2 linked regions of the Oryctolagus cuniculus genome follow. The protein of the gene in region 2 purifies or fractionates together with the protein of the main gene of each other region. This does not show direct contact. Links are inferred from orthologs where the notes say so. Each region holds a gene or a part of one and is shown on either strand. Other genes may lie near its edges. The genes, in order: TMEM259 and STYK1.

Evidence for each region.
Region 1: the proteins of STYK1 (region 2) and TMEM259 purify together in Homo sapiens (affinity purification with mass spectrometry; 3 studies listed by BioGRID and IntAct, with this or other methods). This does not show direct contact. The link is inferred for Oryctolagus cuniculus from reciprocal best matches to the Homo sapiens genes STYK1 and TMEM259.

The regions. Positions count from the first base shown.
Region 1 is NC_091447.1:58,534,731-58,546,411, forward strand, and holds the start of TMEM259 (membralin), read right to left. Parts: upstream 6,739-11,681; 5' UTR 6,550-6,738; coding exon 6,325-6,549; intron 4,627-6,324; coding exon 4,363-4,626; intron 4,028-4,362; coding exon 3,931-4,027; intron 3,301-3,930; coding exon 3,190-3,300; intron 3,115-3,189; coding exon 2,992-3,114; intron 2,435-2,991; coding exon 2,334-2,434; intron 2,096-2,333; coding exon 1,876-2,095; intron 1,785-1,875; coding exon 1,652-1,784; intron 1,068-1,651; coding exon 968-1,067; intron 839-967; coding exon 314-838; 3' UTR 1-313. Other genes in the region: CNN2 (calponin-2), read left to right, coding at 10,283-10,345. UniProt on the Homo sapiens protein: May have a role in the ERAD pathway required for clearance of misfolded proteins in the endoplasmic reticulum (ER). Promotes survival of motor neurons, probably by protecting against ER stress.
Region 2 is NC_091440.1:108,191,026-108,201,784, forward strand, and holds the end of STYK1 (tyrosine-protein kinase STYK1), read right to left. Parts: intron 9,956-10,759; coding exon 9,915-9,955; intron 9,234-9,914; coding exon 9,137-9,233; intron 8,087-9,136; coding exon of another isoform or gene 8,065-8,086; exon of another isoform or gene 6,927-8,064; intron 6,194-6,926; coding exon 5,989-6,193; 3' UTR 3,825-5,988; downstream 1-3,824. UniProt on the Homo sapiens protein: Probable tyrosine protein-kinase, which has strong transforming capabilities on a variety of cell lines. When overexpressed, it can also induce tumor cell invasion as well as metastasis in distant organs.

The sequences.
Region 1 (11,681 bases), on a different chromosome or scaffold from region 2:
CGGCCGCTGCGGCGCGGCGCGGCGCGGCCCGGCTTTCCTCCACGGCTCACGTGCGCGTGCGCAGACCTGCCTGCCCTCAGGCCTCGGCTCCACCTCCACCAAGCCCCGCCCAGAACCACCGAGCCCCTCCCACCCCCTCCTCCGAGCCGGCACACACCTGGGGCAGAAGGCTGGCTTCCCGGCAAACGGGGCGAAACCCCAAAACCAACCACAGCAGGCCGGGCAGGCCGAGGAAGGGGTGCGCCCCGGGGCTCCCACCCCCCGGCTCCAGGGAGGCCGCCGGACCGAGGGTCGGTGTCGGCTGCAGGCAGGCTCAGGACGCGGCCTCGGAAGGCCCCTCCGCGGGGGCTGTGGGCACGGGGCTGGGGCCGCCCCCTGGGGCCGCCGCGGGGGCTGTGTCCGGCGCAGAGCCGCTCTGGGGGGCGCTGTCCGGGGGGGCGCTAGGGCTCGGGGGGCCGGGGGGCCGCCGCTCCAGGAGAGAGGCGCTCAGGCCCGAGAGGAAGGAGGCGTCCGTGATGATGGCCGCCGTCTCGGCCATCCAGCCCAGGTCGCCCCCGGCCGCGGCCGCCACGGAGGCCGCCACCGCCCCCAGGGAGCTGGGCGCCGAGGCCACAGGCCCAGGACCCCCGCTGGCCGCGGCCGCGCCAGGGCCCAGCGCCAGGGGCTGCGCGGCGGCGTCGGGGGCGGCGGGCGCGCCCGAGTTGTTGTTGAGGTCGTCAGGCAGGGCCGTGGGGGTCCCGGGGCCCAGGGGCGGGGTCCGCAGCAGCAGCTCCTGGATGCGGATCTGCTGCAGGATGGCCGGCAGCTCGTAGTGGTGGAAGAAGTAGATCATGGAATGCTGTGGGCGGAGCCAGGCGCAGGCTCAGGCCCCGCCTGCCCGCCGGTCCAGGGCGCAGGCGGGAGCCCCCCCAGCCCCGCCCCCAGCCCCAGCGGCAGCAGGGAGGCGCCGCTCGGGCCTGGGCCTCACCTGGATGAAGAGCCAGGAGGTGACCAGGGCCAGGCTGCTGTACTGCCCGTTGAAGCGGTAGTGGTAGGCGTAGAACGCGAAGTGGTACAGGTAGAAGAACCTGCAGGGTGGGGTGCGGCGTGAGCCCCCCTGGTGCCCGCCCCGCCCAGCTCCCGCCCCCTGCCGCCCCCGCCTCCTGCACCCTAGCCAGGTCCCCGTCCCCTCCCACAGAGGCCCCCCTCCTGCCCAGCTCCCGCCCCCTGCCGCCCCCGCCTCCTGCACGCTAGCCAGGTCCCCGTCCCCTCCCACAGAGGCCCCCCTCCTGCCCAGCTCCCGCCCCCTGCCGCCCCCACCTCTCCTGCGCCTTAGCAAGGTCCCCGGCCCCTCCCTGACGCCCGCATCCCCCCCACCAGCTCCCGCCCCCTACCGGCCCCGCCTCTCCCACCCAACCCCGCCCCCTGCCGCCCCATACTCCCACCCAAACCCCGCCCCCTGCCGCCCCCGCCTCTCCTGCGCCTTAGCCAGGTCCCCGGCCCCTCCCTGACGCCCGCATCCCCCCCAGCCCCCGCCCCCTGCCGGCCCCGCCTCTCCCCCCTAGCTCCCCGGCCCCGCCCCCTGCCACCCCAATTCCCCTCCCCCACCCAGTTCCCGGCCCCACCTCCCCCAACCCCGCCCCCTGCCCGGCCCCGCCCCGCCCGCCCTCACCGCAGCCAGTGGCGCTTGCTGGTGCTCGTGTGGCAGCAGATGGCGTCGTACTGGTCGGCCAGCCACACGATGAGGATGATGTAGAAGGCCGTGGTGGTGTCGTTGAAGAACTCGGACATGATGGCCTCCATCCCTGCGGGGACAGGGCGCGGGCTTGGCGCGGGGGGCGGGGCGGCCTGGGGGCGGGGCGGCCTGGGGGCGGGGCGGGGCGGGCGGGGGCTCACCCACGAGGGCCAGGATGACCGTCAGCAGCGGCGCTGCGGGGAAGGCGATGGCCATGTTCATCTCCAGCATCTGCAGCAGGTCCACTGCGGGCACAGGGCGCGGGCGGGGCCCGGTGAGGGCGGGGGCGGCGCCCACCGCGCCCCCGCCCGGCCGAGACTCACCGATGAAGACGAAGATCTGGTGGTGCGAGTAGCGCAGCAGCATGGACACGCTCAGGGTCTGCGGGAGGGCGGGGCGTGAGGGGCGGCCGCGGTCCCCGCCCCGCCCCCAGCTGCCGCATGGTCCCCCGCCCTGCCCCCGGCTACAGCCGCCCCGCCGCGCCCCGCCCCGCCCCCGCATGGTCCCCCGCCCCGCCCCCGGCTACAGCCGCCCCGCCCCGCGCCGCCCCCAGCTACAGCCGCCCCGCCCCGCCCCGCCCCCAGCTGCCGCATGGTCCCCCGCCCGCCCCGGCACTCACGAAGATGACCATGATGACGAAGGCGGCCAGGTAGGACGTGCGCGCCATCCACATGCTGACGAAGCGGTAGTGCTCGCCCGACACCACGTTCCGCAGGAAGCCTGGGGGGTGGGGGCCATGAGCCGGCCCGTCCCTGCCTTGCCCCCAGGCCAGGCCCCACCCCCAGGCCAGGCCCCGCCCCGGCAGCCCCTGGCCCCGCCCCCCCAGTTCCCAGGCCAGCCCCGCGCCGGCCTCGCCCACCCCCACCCTGCCCCCCCACCCTTGTTCTCGTCCTCAGCCAGGCCCTTCACGCAGGCCCCGCCCCCGGCCCCGCCCCCCACCCCCCCACCCCCGCCCCGCTCACCCTTGTTCTCGTCCTCCGCCAGGCCCTCCACGCAGGCCCAGCCCCGGCCCCGCCCCCCACCCCCCCCACCCCCGCCCCGCTCACCCTTGTTCTCGTCCTCCGCCAGGCCCTGCACGCAGGCCCCGCCCACCCCACCCCCGCCCCCCCTCACCCTTGTTCTCGTCCTCCGCCAGGCCCTTCACGCAGGCCCCGCCCCGCCCCCGGCCCCGCCCACCCCGCCCCCCGCCCCCGCTCACCCTTGTTCTCCTCGTCCTCCGCCAGGCCCTTCACGCAGGCCCCGCCCCGCCCCCCCACCCCACCCCCGCCCCCGCTCACCCTTGTTCTCCTCGTCCTCCGCCAGGCCCTTCACGCTGGACATGAGGATGTCGTCGTAGCCCAGGAACTCGTCCAGCAGCAGGCGGCTGAAGCGGTCCCCGAAGCACTGGTCCCGCGTGGGGTCTGGGGGCGGGGCAGGGGCAGGTCAGCCGCGGGCGCCTCCCTCGGCCAGGCCCCCCCGCGCCCGCCCCCACTCACCGAGCGTGACCACCATGACCGGGATGCTGAGGCGCTGCCGCGTGGCCTGCGACAGCCGCAGGAAGCCGTACTCCAGGGAGTACTCCACGATGTACTCGTCCTGCGGCCACACTGCGGGGGAGTGGGCGGGGCGGTCAGCGCGGGAGGGAGAGAGTGGGCGGGGCGGTCAGCGCGGGGTGGGGGTCAGTGCAGGGGCGGTCAGCGCGGGGCGGGGGTCAGTGTTGGGGAGTGAGCGGGGCGGTCAGCGCGGAGTGGAGGTCAGTGCAGGGGTGGTCAGCACGGGGAGGGGGTCAGCGCGGGGGAGTGGGGGGGTGGTCAGCGCGGGGGAGTGGGCGGGGCGGTCAGCGCGGGGTGGGGGTCAGTGCAGGGGCGGTCAGCGCGGGGAGGGGGTCAGCGCGGGGGAGTGGGTGGGGCGGACAGCTTGGGGGAGTGGGCGGGGCGGTCAGCGCAGGAGGGAGAGAGTGGGCGGGGCGGTCAGTGCGGGAGGGAGAGAGTGGGCAGGCGGTCAGAGCGGGGCAGGGGTCAGTGCAGGGGCCATCAGCACGGGGCAGGGGTCAGTGCAGGGGCGGTCAGCGCGGGGCAGGGGTCAGTGCAGGGGCGGTCAGCGTGGGGAGGGGGTCAGTGCAGGGGCGGTCAGCGCGGGGAGGGGGTCCTTGCCGGCTGCCCAGGGCCCTGCTGATAAGCTGGAGGCTCTGCTCCGGGACCCCCAGGCCCCAGAGCGGGTGGCCCGCGGCCCTGTACCTTTGGTGGGCGTCTCGGAGAAGGGGAACTCCTGGCTGTCGTTGGCCTCAGTGCCCCGCGGGGGCTTGAACGCCTTGGGCTCGATGTCCAGCTCAAACTGGGGAGGCGGAGCCAGAGTCAGGGCCCGCAGCAGCTCGGGCCTGCTGACCGCCCTGCGGGGACCCCACCCCGGCGCTGCCCCAGCCCCGGGGGTGGGCGCGTGGGGACAGCACCCAGGCCCCGACGGGAGGCCCTGGTCACGGCCGGCCCACGGCCCGCCCTCCCAGCACTGAGGCCGCCAGCCAGGGACATGGGGCCCCACAGCAGGCCCAGCCCTGGCCGGCCTCCGTTCTCGGCGCCCAGGCCCAGCCGACCCCTCCTCGTGGCCACTGGGGCGCTGGGAGGGCAGACCCCGCCCCCGGCAGGGGCCGCACGCCGGGCCTGGCGGCTCACCTGGACAGAGCTGTTCCCGAACATCTCCATGGTCAGCTCCTCGTCCTCGTCCTCCGGCTCCACGGCCAGCCCGGGGCAGCTCCCGGGGGCGCCGGCGCCGGCGCAGAACTGCAGGAAGACGGGCGCGCGGCTCGAGTTGTGCTGCACCTCCACGCGCAGCACGCCCTCCCGCGGCCAGCGGTCCCGCACGTGCTCCAGGCAGCTGATGGGCGAGCGGGAGAAGACGAAGTGGATGTAGGCCAGCACGAACAGCACGAACAGGGCCTGGGGGGACAGCGGGGTCAGCGCCGCGCAGCGCGGGAGAGCCTGGGCTCGCCCCCGCACCGGCACCCCCCGCCGGCGTCCACCATGGCCACCCGCCCCCGCACACGGCTGGACCCGGGCCGGGCGTCTCCCCTGCGAGGGTCGTCCCGGTGCACGCGCCCCCAGCCGCCTCTGTCCATCTGGCTGGCCCGAGCGGGCAGTGCCGCCTGTCCCCGGCCAAAGACCTCGCCTGTCTCAACAGCTGGGCGCCCACATCCTGCTGTGGCCGGCCACACCCCTGCCGCCCCCACAGCACCTGGACACGGCCAGGCCCCCGGACGGCTGTGAAGCCAAGACGGACGGCAGTGGGCTGACCGGGACCTGCGGGACGGGCGGCCTTCAGGAGGCGGGAGCTGGGACCCGCCGTGGGTGTGGCCGGACGCCGCACCTCCTGGTCCTGGGCCGGCCACGACACGCCTCGCGGGTTCACAGGCGGCCAAGGCACAGCCACAGAGCTGCAGCAGTCCCCGGCCAGCAGCCTGGGCAGCAGGGCCTGCCGGGGCGGGCCTTGCCTCCTGCCTCCCCACCTGTCTCTGGGGTCGGAGTGACCCTGGACACGGCTCCAGGCCGCATCTCCCCGTGCGGGGAGGGTGCAGAGCGCCCAAGGCCCAGCCCCGGGACCCGCGGCCGGCACCCTGGGTCCCCCCGCCGCCGGCACCCTGGGTCCCCCCGCCGCAGCCTTCCCAGGAACCCCGCGGGGGTGCCCGCCACTCCCAACCACCACCGCCCACGTCCACGCCACCACGGGTCAGGGCCCTCACCCCGTGGCAGGTCAGGCCGCCTGGCCCAGGCACCTGCTCTGTGCCTTGAAGCCAGCAGAGGCCACGGCCGAGGCCAGCAGGGTGGTCTGAGGCCGCGTCCCCAGCGCCTGGCGCCGCGTGGACACCACGGGCAGGAAGCAAGGTGCTTCCGGAACTCGGGGCAGCGCCGCGGCCGGCAGGAGGAAGCAGGCCACCAAGCTGGCCCGACAGCCGGTGAGCTTCCAGCAACCACACGGCGCCCGGGGCCGGCCACTCCACGCCCACGGAGGGGCCCCGCGAGGCCCCGCGGCCCCCTCGGCCGCCGCAGACCCGGCTGTCCGGAGGGGGCGGCGGCCCGGCGTGCGGCGTCCGGCTCCAGGCCGGGGACGGGCGGCCGAGGCGAGGTCCAGGGGGCTCCCCCTCCCTCCCACCTGCGGCAGGCGGGGCGCAGGCCGCCCCCGGCACCCCTGCACCCCCGCACCCGCGGGCGGGGCGCTGATGAAAACCGCCCTGCCCACTTCCCCACTTCCCCTGGCCGGAGGGAAACCCGGAACACGGGCGGCCCCCGGAGCCGGGCGAGCTCCTTCCGCGACCCCCTCCAGGCCCCCCAGAGCAGACCCGGGAGGGGCGGACCCCGGCGGGGGGGGGGGGAGCCGGAGGCCTGGCGACCTCAGCTGTCACTTTCGCGGTGAGGCGCGGGCAGGGGCGGGGGAGGCCCCGGGGAGGGGACACCCCCACCGGGAGGCGGGCGCCGGACCCTCCAGGCTGGGGAAGGCGCACCAGAGTGGGGTCAAAGGTCGGCGGCAAGTGCGGGACTGGAACGGGTGAACTTTCCGGAGGGGGCGGGCGGCAGGTCCCCCGGCAGGCGGGTGGCCCGGGGGTCGGGGGTCGGGGGTCAGGGGTCGGGGGTCGCGGTCACCTTGAGCAGCACGAAGAACTCGAAGAGCCGGCGGAAGGCGGGCGGGAAGAGCCGCGAGTAGGTCACGGCCATCTTGAAGAAGAGCGCGTGGAACAGCCGGTCGCGCACGTTGATGAGCGGGTTGGGGTTGAGGTTGGGGGTGCGCGGCCCGCGCGCGGGGGCCGGGCCGCCGCCGCCGCCGTTGGGCCCGGGCCCCGGCGCTCCGGGAGCCGCGTGCTCCGACATGCCGTCCGGCGTCGCGCCCTAACGGCCCGCGGGTGCCCGGGGACGCCTCCCGGCCGCCATCGGCGCCCCTTCGCGCCGCTCACGGCCCCCCGGCCGCCGCCGCCATCTTCCGCCTCCTCCGGGCCGCGGCCCTGCTGACCAACGAGCCGCCGCGCACGGCCAGAGCAGCCTCGCTGCGCCCGCGGGGCACCCTGGGATGCCGGCGGCCCGACCGCGGAGGCCCCGCCCCCACGCTCCGCGGCCCGCCTCGGCGGAGCCCGGGGGCGTGGCTGCGCGTGGCACTACTCGTTTGCATATTGCTTCCCAGGAGCCTTCGCGACTGAGAGGCCTCGTTTGAATTGTAACATTATGGGTAGTTTTAGGCTTAGATGTGACTCAAAGTAAGTAAGGGTACAGAAATTGTCCTTTTCTGTAGAACACGAAGGTACTATGCTCTCTGCGAAACTATACCAAAGGTACCCTAAATGTAAAGTAATTTTGTTAGTGACCTTTAAATACTAGCGGCAGGCACTGCTTGTTCGTGCTCGCTTCGGCAGCACATATACTAAAATTGGAACGATACAGAGAAGATTAGCATGGCCCCTGCGCAAGGATGACACGCAAATTCGTGAAGCGTTCCATATTTTGCTACCCCTTTCCACGAACAGCGTGCAGGAGGAGCCGGCCGGGTTCGCGTGGAGCCGCAGCCGTCGCGCGTGAATGCCCACGCAGGGTGTGCGTGACTGGGCGGTGAGCGCGGGGGCCGGGGGTCTACGCCGTCCGCTCTGCAGCCCACGCCCTGCTCCTGCCCTCTGGCACACACCGGAGCAGGTGAGAAGGCGGCCCGGGACCAGAGGGCACTGAACCCACAGCAGACGCACCCCGGGACACGGAGCTCCCGCGGTGCAGCGCCACGGCTCACAGGTGGGCCCGGCGGGGCCACGGTCGCCGCAGCTCTGCCCGCAGCAGCGCTGTGACTTTGTTTCCCTTACCTATTTGATAGGCAGGGGCCTCACCGAAGGAGCCGCGCGCCGCCTTGCGGGCTCACACGGCACCTGGTCCCCGCAGCTCTCCGGCCCCGGTCAGGGCTGCGCCCGCGACCCCGCCCGCCCCTGTCGCGCCTCCGTGCTCGCTCGGCCCCCGCCGCCGCCGCCCCCGTGGGTGGGTTCACGCGGGAGGGGACAGAGGCGCCCTCCCCGAGGGACAGGCCTGTGGGACATCGCCTGTCCCTGACCCCGCAGCCGTCCACCCCGGGGCCCTGCGCTGGGGCCAGTGTGGAAGGTGCGCTCCCACCTGGGCGGCCGGGTCCCAGGTTCTGGACTCCCACGGGGCACGCGCACGAGCCCAGCAGTGGAGAGCGACCCGGAGGGGACGCACGTGTGCATCCTCCGTCTGCGAGGTGGGACCTGGTGGGAGGGCCGGTGTGGGATGCGCCGGGCTGGGGGGACACGCCTGCCCCCTCGCACGCCTGCTGGCGCTGTAAGGAAACTCTGGACGGCACGGAAGCCGGCCCTGACGCCCCCAGTGTGCCGGTGTCCTGCCCCAGGCGGCTCTGTTAGGGGCAGCTCAGGGACAAGAAGTCACCTACAGGACAGGGTCACACCCATAGCTCCCTGTGTCCCGTGCCCAGGGCCATTGCTGGTCCCAGGCGCTGCAGCCCCACCCCCGCCCCGTGTCACTGTAGGGGGGCGACCCATGGCCTCCCCGGCCGTCCTGGGCCCACGTTGACGCACGACGGCCAGCCCCTGGGCCCAGCACCCTGGGGACATTTCCTGGCGCAGCCTCGTCCCGCAGGGGACCGGGCTCAGCTTCCTAAGGTGACACAGCCTCCAGGGAGCGGGGGTGGACGCTGCGGAGGTCACGGAACTGGTCAGCATCGTGTTCCCGAGTTTCTAGAACTGGGATATCCCCAGGTTCCCGAATCCCAGGATGTAGCAAGGGGCGGGGGCCCTGCCCCTGACACCCCCGTCGGGGCCCCTGGCTTCGGCCTGGCCCAGCCCCGGCTGCTGCAGGCATTTGGGGAGCAGCAGGTGGAAGACCTGTCTCCCCCTCTCTTCCAAGTAGGTGGGAGGGGCCGGCGTGGTGGCCTGAAGCCTGGCATCCCGTATAGGTGCTGGTTTGAGACTTGGCTGCTCCACTTCCTGTCCTGCTCGCTGCTGTGGCCTGGGAAAGCAGTAGAAGATGGCCCAAGTCCTTGGGCGCCTGCACCCGCGTGGGAGACTGGGAAGAAGCTCCCGGCTTCGGATGGGCGCAGCTCCGGCCGTTGCGGCCATCTGGGGAGTGGACTGAGCATTCCCGGAGGACGGGTGCGGCATCCGCCGTGGTGAGCACAGGGCACGGGGCAAGCCGGCGCCAGCAGGACGGGACCTGGGTGTCACTGCACGTCCCCAGGTCGGGGAACACGGAACCGCCCTGAGCTCCCTCCCCAGCGGCAGAGCGAGGCTGACAGGGCACAGGCAAGGGGCAGCGGGTGGCACGGCCGTGAGGACCCCTCCTCGGGTGCCTGGCTCGGGCTCTCGACGCCAGCTCCCCGCTGACGCAGACCCCGGGGCCCGTGGGAGCCCCAAATGAGCTCCTGGCTCCCGGCTTCAGCCCGGCCCGCCCCAGCCATCTGGGGCGTGACCCAACCGAGCCGCGAAGATCTCGCTGCCTTTCCAATAAAATATTCAATTTTTTCCATGAACTCTGCCTCATAGAAAGAAACTTTTTCTTTGAGACAAAATTCACACACAGCCGGGTTGTTTCAAAAAAGATTCCCGACCCCCGAACGGGGCCCCACCTTGAAGGCGGCTGCCACTGGGCCCTGTTCCGGGAGCACACGGGCCAGCCGGCTCCGGAGCCAGGACGCGAGCCCCTCCCCCGAGGCTGAGGCTCGTCGGGGCTGGGGGCCGGGCCCGCCCCCGGGGAGCGGGGCTGGATGGGGGCTGCACAGCCCCGGGTGGGCCCTGCGGGGCAGAGAAGACATCACATCAACCTGTGTGTCCTGGACCCGCCTGTGGGGCCGCGGCGTGGTGGGTAGACCACGCGGACCCCCAGGTGCGGTGAGAGCAGCAGGGACCCCGCCCTGCGCACGCCCCGATCGATCTCCCTCCCTCGCGGCTGCTGGGTCGACCACCCGCACGCTCGGGGTGAGCAAGAAACCGAGACCCCGAAGGGAAAGGATTTGCCCGGATGGGAGTGGGCGTGGGCGTGGGCGCCCCCCAGGAGAGGAAAGGACCCCAGGGGCGCCAGGCCCCTGCACTGCCTCCCGCCAGTCCGGGGCTGAGCCGCGGGCAGCAGGGGCGCAGGCCGATGCACGCGCGAGCGCGTGGACGTCCACGCTGTTCTGCGTCCGTGTGCCCGGCTCCCGCACAGACACCGCCCGTGGAGCACCAACCGCGTGCCCGGTCTCCGTCCGGCCCCGGGGTGGCGCGGGACTCTCGGGGGTCGCGCTCCCGGGGCGGGGGTGTCAGCGGAGCCGCCGGGCGAGGGGCCCCTCCCGGCCGCCGCCGTCCCGGGAGCGCGACCCGGGTGGGGGTCGGGCGCGGCGAGGGGCTCAGGAAGTCCGCGGCCGCAGGAATTCGGCGCTGCCCGGCCTTATAAGGACAAGAGCGCGGCGGGCCAACCAGCGGCGGGGGGCGGGGCCGTCGCCGCCGCGGCACGCCCCCGCCGCCCGCACGCCCCGCCCCCGGCACGCCCCTCGTGGGCGCCCCGCCCCCGGCACGCCGCCTCGCGCGCCCCTCCGCGTCCCGCGCGCTCGGTCCGCGCCGCCAGCATGAGCTCCACGCAGTTCAACAAGGGGCCTTCGTACGGGCTCTCGGCCGAGGTCAAGAACCGGGTGAGTGAGGGGCGGCGCCTCGGACCCGGGCGGGCGTCGGGGCGGCTCTGGGAGGGGCGCCCCACGGCTCCTCGGGGAGCCCCGAGATTCCAGACGAGGCAGCGCCTCCCGTCCGCGGCGCTGGGTGGTGGTCTGGGCGCCCTCCCCGCCCACCTGGGCCCGTGGATGCGCCCTCTGGTCTCAGCCCCGACCCCCACAGCCTCCAGGCCTCGGAATGTGCAGCGCGGGTGGGGGGACCCCTGCAGCCCCCTCCCCATCCGCGGGCCGCACTTCTGCTTTTTCGGCTTCGGGACAGGAAAGGGGCGGGGCCGCGGTGCTGAGCAGGGTGTGGGCCACCCCCGCGGGACTTTCTCGACCTGTTCTAAACCTGCGGGCGCCTTCTGCCCCGCCCCGCCCCGCCTTCCCCGAGGGCCCCCGAGCGAGCGCGACCCTGAAATGCCTGGCAGCGTGGACAGGGCCGATGAGAGACTTTTGTAAAAACTTTGCGAGAGAGAGAGAGAGAGGGAGAGAGCTTCCGCCCACTGGTTCACCCCCCAAGTGCCCACTATGGCCAGGGCTGGGCTGCATCCGGGGCCCCGGGGGCGGGGTGGCAGGGACCCCCGCGCTGGAGCCGGTCCTGCTGCCTCCCAGCGTGCATCGTGCATCAGAGGGAGCTGGAGTCAGGAGCCGGGCCCGGAATGGGCTCCAGGAGACGGGCGGGCGTGGGGCTGGAGCTGGCCGGCCCGGAGACCCTTTTGGAGAGCCCACTGTGGCTCTGGCCCGGAGAGGGGCAGGAACGGGATCCTGAGTGGGGAGGGGCAGAGAGAGATGGGGAACGTTCGGTTCCTCCTAGTGGCCTGTCCGGCTGACAGGTGGGAGGGCGTGGTCATCCTGCCCCCCCCACTTTCCCCCGGGGGCACCTGGGGATGCAGCCCCACAGCACAGGCTGGGCACTCGGCGGGCCTGACAGGTCCCTGCCCTCCGGGAGACCCTGGGGCTCCTCGGAGCCTGCCCACCCGGGGACCAGAGGGCGGACGGGCGAGCAGGGACCCAGCCGGTGGCCGGCTGCCCTAACCACTGGGCGTGGTTAAGCCCTGGCTTGCACCCGGCCTGCAGTGGCGCCGCAGGACCACACAGCTTGGGCCCAGGCCAGACCCAAGGCCAGCGCCCACTGGCCCCCGGCTCTCCCAGGTGGGCTGGCCCAGGACAGCGGAAGTGGGGAGGGTGCACCGCCCTCCCACCACCCCCACCGCGGCGAGGCAGCTTCCGGAGCCGGCAGCAGGGTGTGGTGAGGGGCAGGCCGACACCTGCCTGGCGGCGCTGAGGTCAGAGGAGCAGCGGCCGCCCCAGCTCCCTG
Region 2 (10,759 bases):
CAAAAGTGTACCCATTGTGTCAGGACAAGAACTACAAAGTGATCACACTTTGATCACATGTGCCTCATGTCACTGAATAACTGAATTCTTTCATATTTTTATTTATTATTTTTAAATGCTCATTCCATTTGAAAGGCAGAAAGACAAAGATCTTCCACCTGCTGGCTTACTCTCAAATGCTCGCAATACCCAGCCAGAAATCAATCTGGGTCTCCCATATGGTGGCCTGGAACCAAGTACTTGAGCCATCACCTGCTGCCTCCCAGGGTGTGCATTACTAGAATGCTGAATTGGAAGCAGAGGGGCTTGGGACTCTCTCCAACCAGGCACTCTGATAATAAGATGTGGGCATCTCAAGTGGCGTCTTAAATCTCTGTGCCAAATGCCTGCCCCAGGAACAGAATTCCTAATTTGATTAATTTTGATTACCAGTTAAAGAACTCCACGTGACTAGTAGCTATTGTGTTGGTCAGCACAGATATAGGAAACTTTTCATGAAAATATTTTGTGGGTGTTTTTATAAACAAAAGTTATGTATGTATGTATTTGAAAGAGAGGGAAGGAGAGAGGGAGGCGTGGGGGGAGAGAGAGGTATCTTTCAATCATTGGTTTACTCAAATGGCTATAACATCCAAGACTGTGCCAAGCAGAAGCAAGGAGCCACGAACTCCACCTGAGTCTCCCACATGAGTAGCACAAGCCCAGGTACTTGAGCCATCCTCAGCTGCCTTCCCAGGTAAATTAATAGGGAGCTGGATTGGGACCAGAGATTTGGGATTTGAACTGGCATTCTGATATTGGAGGCCAGTGTAGCAAGCCATGGTGGCTAAACCCACTGTGCTATAACACTGGCCCCTGTAACTGTTTTTCAATCTCAGTTGCTTCAAATTAGTGCAGACTTAATGATAACTCCACAGTTTACTTATGGAAAAAAAAAAGTTTGAGCTACTAAAATGAAGCCAAAGCACTATTTTTGTCCTTGCTAACAGAGTGGTCAACTTCAAAGCACCTGTGAAGTAGATAAGGAATGTTTTATTACCAATTCTAACTGAAATGGAGCCTAATATTTGTTCAGGTATACAATATTCATTGACACAATAATGATTCTTCTGTAGAGTTTCTATGTTCTTTTCCTTGAGCTTCAAGGTGATGAATCAATTTAGGGGGCTATCACCAAAGAAAGTTATATCTTATAATTGTTAACATTTAAAATGTTCTACTGATTTTTCCTACATAGAAAGTTCTCTCTTCATTTGATCACACTTTTATGTCTCATGTGTCCTCCAAATTCTTTTTTGCCTCTTTATTTAAAAGAGCCAAATTATTCTGACTTCTGATTTTCAGAAGTATGTTCTACCTTCATTGTAATAAACACTGTAGATAATAGTCTAATGTTTTTGTTTGGTTTACTGTATCATTATTTTTTGATTAGCTTTGACTTTGTGAAAGCAGTCAGGCCTATCTCATCCCGTTAAATGGATCAGAGTAGTAAGTCAAATATATATGTTCTAACAGAGCATGCTAATAAAGTGGTTTAAAATGAGAAAAAGGAAGAATGAGTTAGCCTCTTTCGGTCCTTATTCCATCTACCTACCTTTCTCTTTTTTGTAATGGACATCCCTTATGGATTTTAGCCTATCTTTTGTTTGTTTTAAACTACTCAGCGATATTTCTTTCTAAGTAAGAGACTCACCATCATGCAGAAACATCAAACTTACCATATCATTTTTTTATCAGATATGTTTATGTATGGTGAGCACATGGAGCTATATCTAGGTTATAATGATATGATGCTATATTTAATTCCATTATCCAATCTAAGAACTTTTTTTGCAGAGTACAGCTTCAAAGACATAGCATAACCTTTAACTATTGTGCTTCAAATAGATTGTTAAATTAAGAATAATAGGAGGTCCTCTGGTCTTCCATTGTAATAGCTACTTGATTATTTAAGTAAATCAGTGTGGTAAAGCAAAAAAAATTTTTTTGAATTAGGTCAACAAGCTTAAGTTCAAGAAACTTCTATTAACTTTTTTCTTTTAAAAATGGTGAAAAGTGCCACTATTATTCAGTTTCCATAACAGTAACTGCCAGTTCATATTATTCTATGCAAAACTAGATTGTTAAGTTTCCTTTAGCCGCTTTACCTAGGCATATGTTTGCCCAGTTCCTAACTGTTGTTATTTTTTTAATATAGAGCATAAAAACAAAACTGTAGGAAGGCTGTTCAAAACAATAAAAATATGAATTCCACTTGATTAAATGGTGACTGTTTTAATTCTGTTTTGCATTCATTACCTTTGAAGTACCTAGTTTTGTCTATAAAATATCTAGATACCAGAAATAAAACCTCAGATATGTGGCCAGCGCTGTGGCACAGCAGGTTAAAGCCCTGGCCTGAAGCCGGCATTCCATATGGGCACCGGTTCTAGTCCTGGCTGTTCCTCTTCCATCCGGCTCTCTGCTATGGCCTAGAATAGCAGTACAAGATGGCCCAAGTCATTGGGCCCCTGCACCACATGGGAGACCTGGAAGAAGCTCCTGGCTCCTGGCTTTGGATTGGCGCAGCTCCAGCCATTGCAGCCCTCTGGGGAGTGAACCAGTGGATGGAAGACCTCTCTCTCTGCCTCCACCTCTCTCTGTAACTCTGTTGTTCAAATAAATAAAATAAATCTTTAAAAAAAAAAAAAACCCTCAGACACAAAATCCTCCTTTCAAAAAAAGCCAAGTGAGGAGAAGTTACTGGTTTCTAAGGATCAGAGTTCCTGTTTCCATTTTTCCAGGCCTATATTCAGGAAAATAAATAAATTAGGGTAAAGTTTAAAATGCTAATTGTCTGCTTCTTTCCCTCCTACCAAAACAAATATGCATGGATCCTTTGAAAGGTTCATTCTGCATTTCACTGTACCACTATCCCTCTCACCATGTGCAGCCCCTATGCTTCCTTGAAGTTCCTCAAACAATGCTTCTTGCCCTGGAGTTTTCACCAATGTAGTGCATTCCTGGAAGGCTCTTCCCACTGTCTTCCCTACCCATCCCTAAGGTCTCAAGTTAAATGCTGTATCTTCAAAGATACAGCATACTTCTTTCTATCCTATGATTTCTTTTGATAGTGCTTAATATAATTTGTAACTAAAAGATACCCACACAAATAAATATACAGTCTCTTAGCTTCTGAACTAATCAAAAATCTCCTTGTTTTTATTTATTTATTTTTTTATCCAACACCTGGCATCCAGTGTCTGGCACAGTGAGTCAGTATTCAGTATCTGTGTGACTATGGCAGCGCAGTGGGAGAAGTTGCTGTTTGGGATGCTGCATCCCATATTGGAGTGCCTGCATTGAAGTCTCATCGCCACTTCCTATCCAGATTCCTGTTAATCTGTGCACCCTGGGAGGAAGCAGATGATGGCTCAAGTGCTTGGGGTCTGCAACCCCTGTGGGAGACCCAGATAGGATCCCTTTTTTGAAAAACATTGACTTTACCATTTTATTCATGTGTTGTTTGTTGTCTCCTGACTTAAGCCTGCCCCAGCCTCTGCTGTCGTGGGCATTTGGGGAATGAACTCACAGATGGAAGACTTCTCAATATTTCTGCTTCCTTATCATTGTCTCTCCCTTTCAAATGAATAAATAAACATTTAAAAGTTTCATTTTAAGTACGTGAACAAATAAATACTTTGTAAATTTGACTTAAAGGAACATCTGAGAAACAATGGAATTTCCCCAGAAACTTATTGTTTGTTCCAAGCCACTCTACCTCCCTTCTATTGCCATCCACTGCCCATTTAAATCCCAACAAATCATTGAGAAGTTTCCAGGAGTAACAGAATCAGTCTTTATTTGGCTAACTCATCATGACTCCATCAAGTTTCCAACTCCTACATCATTTTTAGCTGTCATTTTTCCTTCAGCAGCTTTAGATCCCAGCATTCTATTTTTTTTTTAATTTACTTACTTGGACAGTCAGAGTTAGAGAGATGGAGAGAGAGAGTGAGAGACAGAGATCTTCCATCTTTTGGTTCACACCTCACATGGCCACAAGAGCCAGGGCTGGACCAGGCCAAAGCCAGGAGCTTCATCCAGGTCTCCCAAACAGTTGAGCCATGCTCTGCTGCTTTTTGTGCACAATAGCAGAGAGCTGGATCAGAAGTGGAGCCAAGCAGCCAGGACACAAACCGGCGCCCATATGGGATGCTGGGGTCACAGGCAGCAGCTTTACCTGCTATGCCACAATGTTGGCCTCCAGCCCAGTGTTCTTTAAAATTACAGATCATCATATTCAACAGATTTGCTCTCATCATGATACTTTTAATATTTTTTAAAATTTTTGTATTTATTTATTTGAGAGACAGAGATGGAGAGACAGAGAAAGGTCTTCCATCCACTGATTCACTCCCCAGTGGCCCCAACAGCCAGAACTGAGCTAATCCGAAGCCAGGACCCAAGAGCTGGATTGGAAGAGGAGCCAGGACACAAACCAGCACCTATATAGGATGCCAGTGCTGCAGGCAGAGGCCCAGCCTACTATGCCACAGTGCCGACCCCTATCTTTAATATTTTGAAATAGGAATATTATTGTCATCCAGAAGTTCACACAAAAATGGTGACATCAGGGGCAGCAGTTAAGATAGCACTTGGGATGCCTGTATCCCATATGGGAGTGTGGGGTTTGAGTCCTGACTCTGCTTTAGACTCCAGCTTCCTGCTAATGCACATCCTGGGAGGCTGCGGGTGATGGCTGAAGCACTTTGATCTCTGCCACCCATGTGGGAGACCCAGATTGAGTTCTCAGCTCCTGATTTTGGCCTGGCCCAGCACCAGCTCTTACAGGCATGAGGGTAAACCAGTGGATAGGATGTCTTGATATTCTCTATTTCCCTCTCTCTCTCTCTCTCTCTCTCTCTCTCAAATACATACATACTTTTTTGAAAAACATTGACTTTACCATTTTATTCATGTGTTGTTTGTTGTACCATGCCATTATCTACAGGCCTTTCCAGCTTTGTACTGTCACAGACCAAGGCTTTCTTCTGGGTCACAGATTTTATATGAAATCTATTTGGAAGATTCTGGGTTAGGAAGGGCACAAGACAGGAAACTAACATTTATTGAGCACTGTTTTATGCCAGACACTGCACAAATACATACTCTCATTCAATCCTTCTGTGAGTTGGATATTATCCCCATTTCACACATAAAGAATCCCTTTTCTGACAATGTAGGTTGTCCCTTAAATTTTTCTGTTGAATTAACTTCTAGGCATTTACCTTTATCTTCTCTATTGTAGAAATACTTTGGCAGCTGTGAACCAGAAAATCGTACTTCCATTTAATGAGTATTAATTTAATGATATTTCACCATGAAGCTACCATCCTTCCATATCAGATTACATACATGCTTTTCTAACCCCTCTTAAAGACTTCTAAACCACCAAACCTTCATACTTAGCCATCACAATCCTTATTCATTACACCCATGTGCATACACACAAACACACACACACATACACAGATTTGGGTCCACACCTACACTCCTGAAGCAAATTAAATCTTGTATATTCTTTCTCATCCACTCTCTCATTGGATTTCTGTTCCTCTGGACTTTGTAGGAGTCTAGATAAAAACATTCTTCAGGAGTAAACTAACCTTGGGTGGGAGATACCAGCTCATGTTTGTCATGTCCCAACAAACACTGCAGATTTCTGATACCTGCTGGGCTGTAACGTTTTCCACCACTGCTCCCCCAGGGTCTATCAAAATGGGACTGATAACGAATTCCTGAGCTCAAAGAGATATGTGTGGAGAGCCTCATCCAACATCATTTTAGAATTCTAGGGAAATGGTTAGGGAGAGATCCAGAATGCTTGTCCCATTTCTCCCTTTATCTCTCCCCCAGAAAGTCTGTTCTTTGTTCTTGGAGGAAAACTGTTTCGAAGAGCATACAGTCGTCCATGAGTGTTTCCTGCTGGAGTGGGGGGTGGGGCCGTCAAAGGATGCTGTAGCTGTAGGAGAGGCTGTTTACACTGATGCCGGCCACGGCTGCATACAGTTCAGGCACCACCAACTCTGGCACTTGCAACACAGCCTTGTCATCTGCAGTTCTAGCAGCAGCTTCAAGGCGCACACGCAGCTCTCTAGGCAGAGGGCGGCTGTCCTCACTCCAGCGCCAGCAGGACTTCATAATATTATACCTGAGAGGCGAACAAGAGAAATTTGACTAGGCAAGTGTATGAGGAGAGAGAGTACCCCTTCCCACAAACATTCACAACAACATCACTCTGGTTTCCTCTCATTTACTGGACAATGCAGAGTGGAAAAAAGTGTTCTGCCATACTCTTTGTAGTTTAAAAAATGCATAGTGTATGCTAAACCAGCAGTGCTAGGACTGGATGTATACCTTTTTTATTCTGTAATACAAGATGGAGCTTTTAACCATTTACTGTATCGCCCCACACTTTATGTTGGCTTTTCATGTGATTTCAGTGATCTCCTCATTAAAGCATTAAGTTCTGGCCAGCGCCGCGGCTCACTAGGCTAATCCTCCACCTAGCGGCGCCGGCACACCAAGTTCTAGTCCTGGTCGGGGCACCGGATTCTGTCCTGGTTTCCCTTCTTCCGGGCCAGCTCTCTGCTGTGGCCAGGAAGTGCAGTGGAGGATGGCCCAAGTACTTGGGCCCTGCACCCCATGGGAGACCAGGATGGGTACCTGGCTCCTGCCATCGGATCAGCGCGGTGCACGGCCGCAGCGCACCGGCTGTGGCAGCCATTGGAGGGTGAACCAACGGCAAAGGAAGACCTTTCTCTCTCTCTCTCTCTCTCTCACTGTCCACTCTGCCTGTCGAAAAAAAAAAAAAGTTTCTCTCTCTCTCTCTCTCTCTCTCTCTCTCTCTCCACCTCTCCCCCCTCTCTGTTTCCCCTCTCTTTCTCCCTTTTCCTTCTTCTCTGTAACTCTGCTTTTCAAAAAAAAAAAAAAATTAAGTTCTGTAAGGTCATGCACTTTGTCAGGTGTCTCCCCTAGTATAAAGAACAGCCTTTAAAAAATTATATATTTCAGCCGGTGCCGCGGCTCAATAGGCTAATCCTCCACCTGCAGCACCGGCATCCCGGGTTCTAGTCCTGGTTGGGGTATCGGGTTCTGTCCCGGTTGCTCCTCTTCCAGTCCAGCTCTCTGCTGTGGCCGGGAAGTGCAGTGGAGAGTGGCCCAAGTCCTTGGGCCCTGCACCCACATGGGAGACCAGGGGAAGCATCTGGCTCCTGGCTTCCAATCAGCGGGGTGCGCCAGCCGCAATGCGCCGGCAGCAGTGGCCATTGGAGGGTGAACCAACGGAAAAGGAAGACCTTTCTCTCTGTCTCTCTCACTGTCCACTCTGCCTGTCAAAAAAGTATATATTTCAGAGGCAGAGAGACATACGGACAGAGAGACAGAGATAGAAAGAGCTCCCATCATTGATTCAGCTAGGCTGAAGCTGGGAGCCAGGAACTCAATCCAAGTCTCCCCTGTGGGCAGTAGGAGCCCAATTATTTAAGCCATCATCACTGCCTCCCAAGGTTTGCATTAGCAGGAAACTAAGATCAGGAGCTGCGGATCACACATAGGCATACTAATAATGGCGTGCTTGCATCCTAACCAGCATCTTAGCTGTAAGGCTAAGCTTCCACCGCAAGGACAGCCATACAAGAAAACATAGAAGAAATACCTGTCAGCCAGAATTATTACACTCTGTGTGTGTGTGCTTGTAGTTAAGATATTTAAACATTATAATCAGCTCAATACAGTAACTGTTTATTGTAGGGAAAACCAGGTGTTGGAAACTTAACCCTTCCATGCTGACAAATTACAAAATAGCAACAGTTGTCATACAAATATTCATTAGCATATTAGTTGCCTTCCTAGACACAATTGAAACTTTCCTTATGTTTTCTAATAGTCCCTTTTAAACTACTGGTGGTAATTTTGTTTCACTGTCTGCTTCCAAGTTGGTTTACCAGCTGTCCCTTCCTGCCGACACTATTGGATCCTCCTGTTGCTGCTTTCTAATTTCTTCTTACTTTCCCTCTTCTGTTAGGCTTCTATCTGCTGGGAGCTGGGAAAACACAAGTCATTAGTTTCAAAAAGTTAAATATTAAATAAGAGCCATTATAGCCAGAATGAGTAATTGCAATGCAATGAATTTTATCATCTGCTATCTTTGAACTGAAGCTGGCAGCACACTGATATTTAGACAAGTAAAACACCATTGCTCTTGCACTGAGTTTGGTCTGCACTCTATCAATTTTCAAACGTCCCTGTGGAACTAAATTTGATCAAACTCAGATTTCTCATATGCTTCTCAGTGGTTGCTTCAACATCAGAGGGGAACAGAAATATATATATATATATATATGCACACACACAAACATACATACATATATGTATATATAAGAGGGTACTTTTAAAAACTGGTGGAAATTAAGTTAACATACAAGTTCATTTTGGTGCAAAAAAAAAATGAAATCCATGTATATATGAGGGCTGGTGCTGTGGCACAGTAGGTTAAGCCTTCACCTGTGATACTGGCATCCCATATGGGCTCTGGTTCATGTCCCAGCTGCTGCTTTTCTGATTCAGCTCTCTGCTATGGCCTGGGAAAGCAGTAGAAGATGGCTCAAGCGCTTGGGCCCCTCCATCCACGTGAGACACCTGGTAGAAGTTCCTGGCTCCTGGCTTCAGATCATCTCAGCTCTGGCCGTTGCAGTCATTTGGGAGTGAACCAGCAGAGAAAAGACCTCTCTGTCTCTGTCTGTAACTCTCTCTCTCAAATAAATAAATAAATAAATCTTTTTAAAAAATATTCGTGGAAAATGCACATTATGAAAACCTATGCATGGAATTCAAAAATATCTTATATTAAAATAACTTATCCTTTAATTCCATTTTCCATAAATTTTTCAAGTATCTTGATATGTGTATAGGATGTGTATGCATCCGTGACATAGGAGCAGACATGTTTTCACTGTATGGGTTTGGTCGAAGGCTACAAATTATCATCTAAGGACAGCTGAGGGTCATCTAAGTCACTTTGAAAACGGCACACTGGGTAGGGAGCAAGAAAGATTTGAATTGAGCAAAGAGAAGGCCTTTAAAACCCACGTACATGGTGTGTTTGCAGCTACTGGGTCTCTTCATGATTTTCCTTCTCTGGAGATGCTGCAGGATGCTGGTGGGAGGGACTTCAGGATATGGTGGTGCTCCTGGCAGCACAGGAAGAACCCGAAAAGCAAAAGAGTTTAGAGCTTAACACACTAAAGTATTAATGATAACTAACATTACTGTCCATTCCCTTAATCACCCACAGAAGGTATAGTCACAGGAAAAATACTGGATCCAATATAGTTGCTCCCAGTGATCAGGTAAGGATGTAGTTTAGAAAATTTTGAGGAAAGATGTTTTGGGGAAAAACTGATAAAAGAGAAATTTTGAGTCTTTAAGAAAGTGATAAAATAATGCAAAGGAATAAGGCCTACCACCTACTACCCATAACATGAAAAGGTGCTACAATTTCTCAATAAAATGGATTAAAAAGCCTGAATAAAATATTTTTTATGTTTATGCAAGATCACTTTGGAAATTATTCTTCGGATTTGAAAACATCCCTTGAAATTGGTGAAGGAAGGAAGGAAGGAAGGAAAGAAGGAAGGAAGAAGAGAGAGAAGAGGAAGAGAGTAAAAGTTAAGAGAAGGACAAAGAGGGAGGGTGGGAGGAGGGGGGGGACAATCACTTTGCAACACTTCTCAGGTATCAGTCTTGAATTTCATGTTAATCCAATTCATACTTCAAGGCTTATACCGAAACCCTTTCTCAAAGCACACATCCTCCAGCCCCCAAATAAACATTCTTGCTTATCTGCACAATGCTTTGGGGACCACTCTTACCTAGAGTCACCATCTCATATAGCAGGATCCCAAAAGACCAACTGCAAGAGAAACAAATCCACCCATTTAATGTCTACTTTTGCCTTCCCTAAAGACACTTAAGTATCTGAAGCCTTCAGTAAGAACCCCGTCAGGAAGATAATGACAGAGAACCCAGGGTGTCTGATAAAACAAGCAGAGTAATAATACCATTAGAAGGCATTTGAAGACTGTATCAGTGTCTCTTTCCTATCTCACATGAATATTCACAAAAACAGACATTTACTATTCTTTGCCAACACACAAATGCACATGTGTGCAATCACACACACTCACCTAAACATAAAAAATTTCTCTCTGTGTCATTTTCATCCTTCCAATCCCTCTCCACTGAGGTTCCACCAACATTTAGTCTTAGTACAAGGCCTGTTTATCCACTATTTCCTTAGTATAGCTCATTGTTTGAACCTAGGAAAGCTATTAACAGAGCAATCTTTAAATGTAGTTGCAATAGGTATTTACCTAAGGAATATGACTTGAGAAATGTATGTCGCTATTTTACAATAGCATCATTGAATCAGTATTCCCATTACCTCCAGATGTCTATCACAAAGAAGATGTCAGTGAAGCAGCAGTGGAAGTCTTTTAATTGACCCTCCGTATTAACAGGTGTCCTATATTTCCTCTGCTGCTTATGATGATCATGGCTAATGGGACAGTCAGCATGACACCTATGCGCTTCTTCAAGCAGCTGAGTTCTGAGTGTTTTTTGTTTTTTGTTTGTTTGTTTGTTTTGTCAGGCAGAGTGGATAGTGAGAGAGAGAGACAGAAAGGTCTTCCTTTTGCCATTGGTTCACCCTCCAATG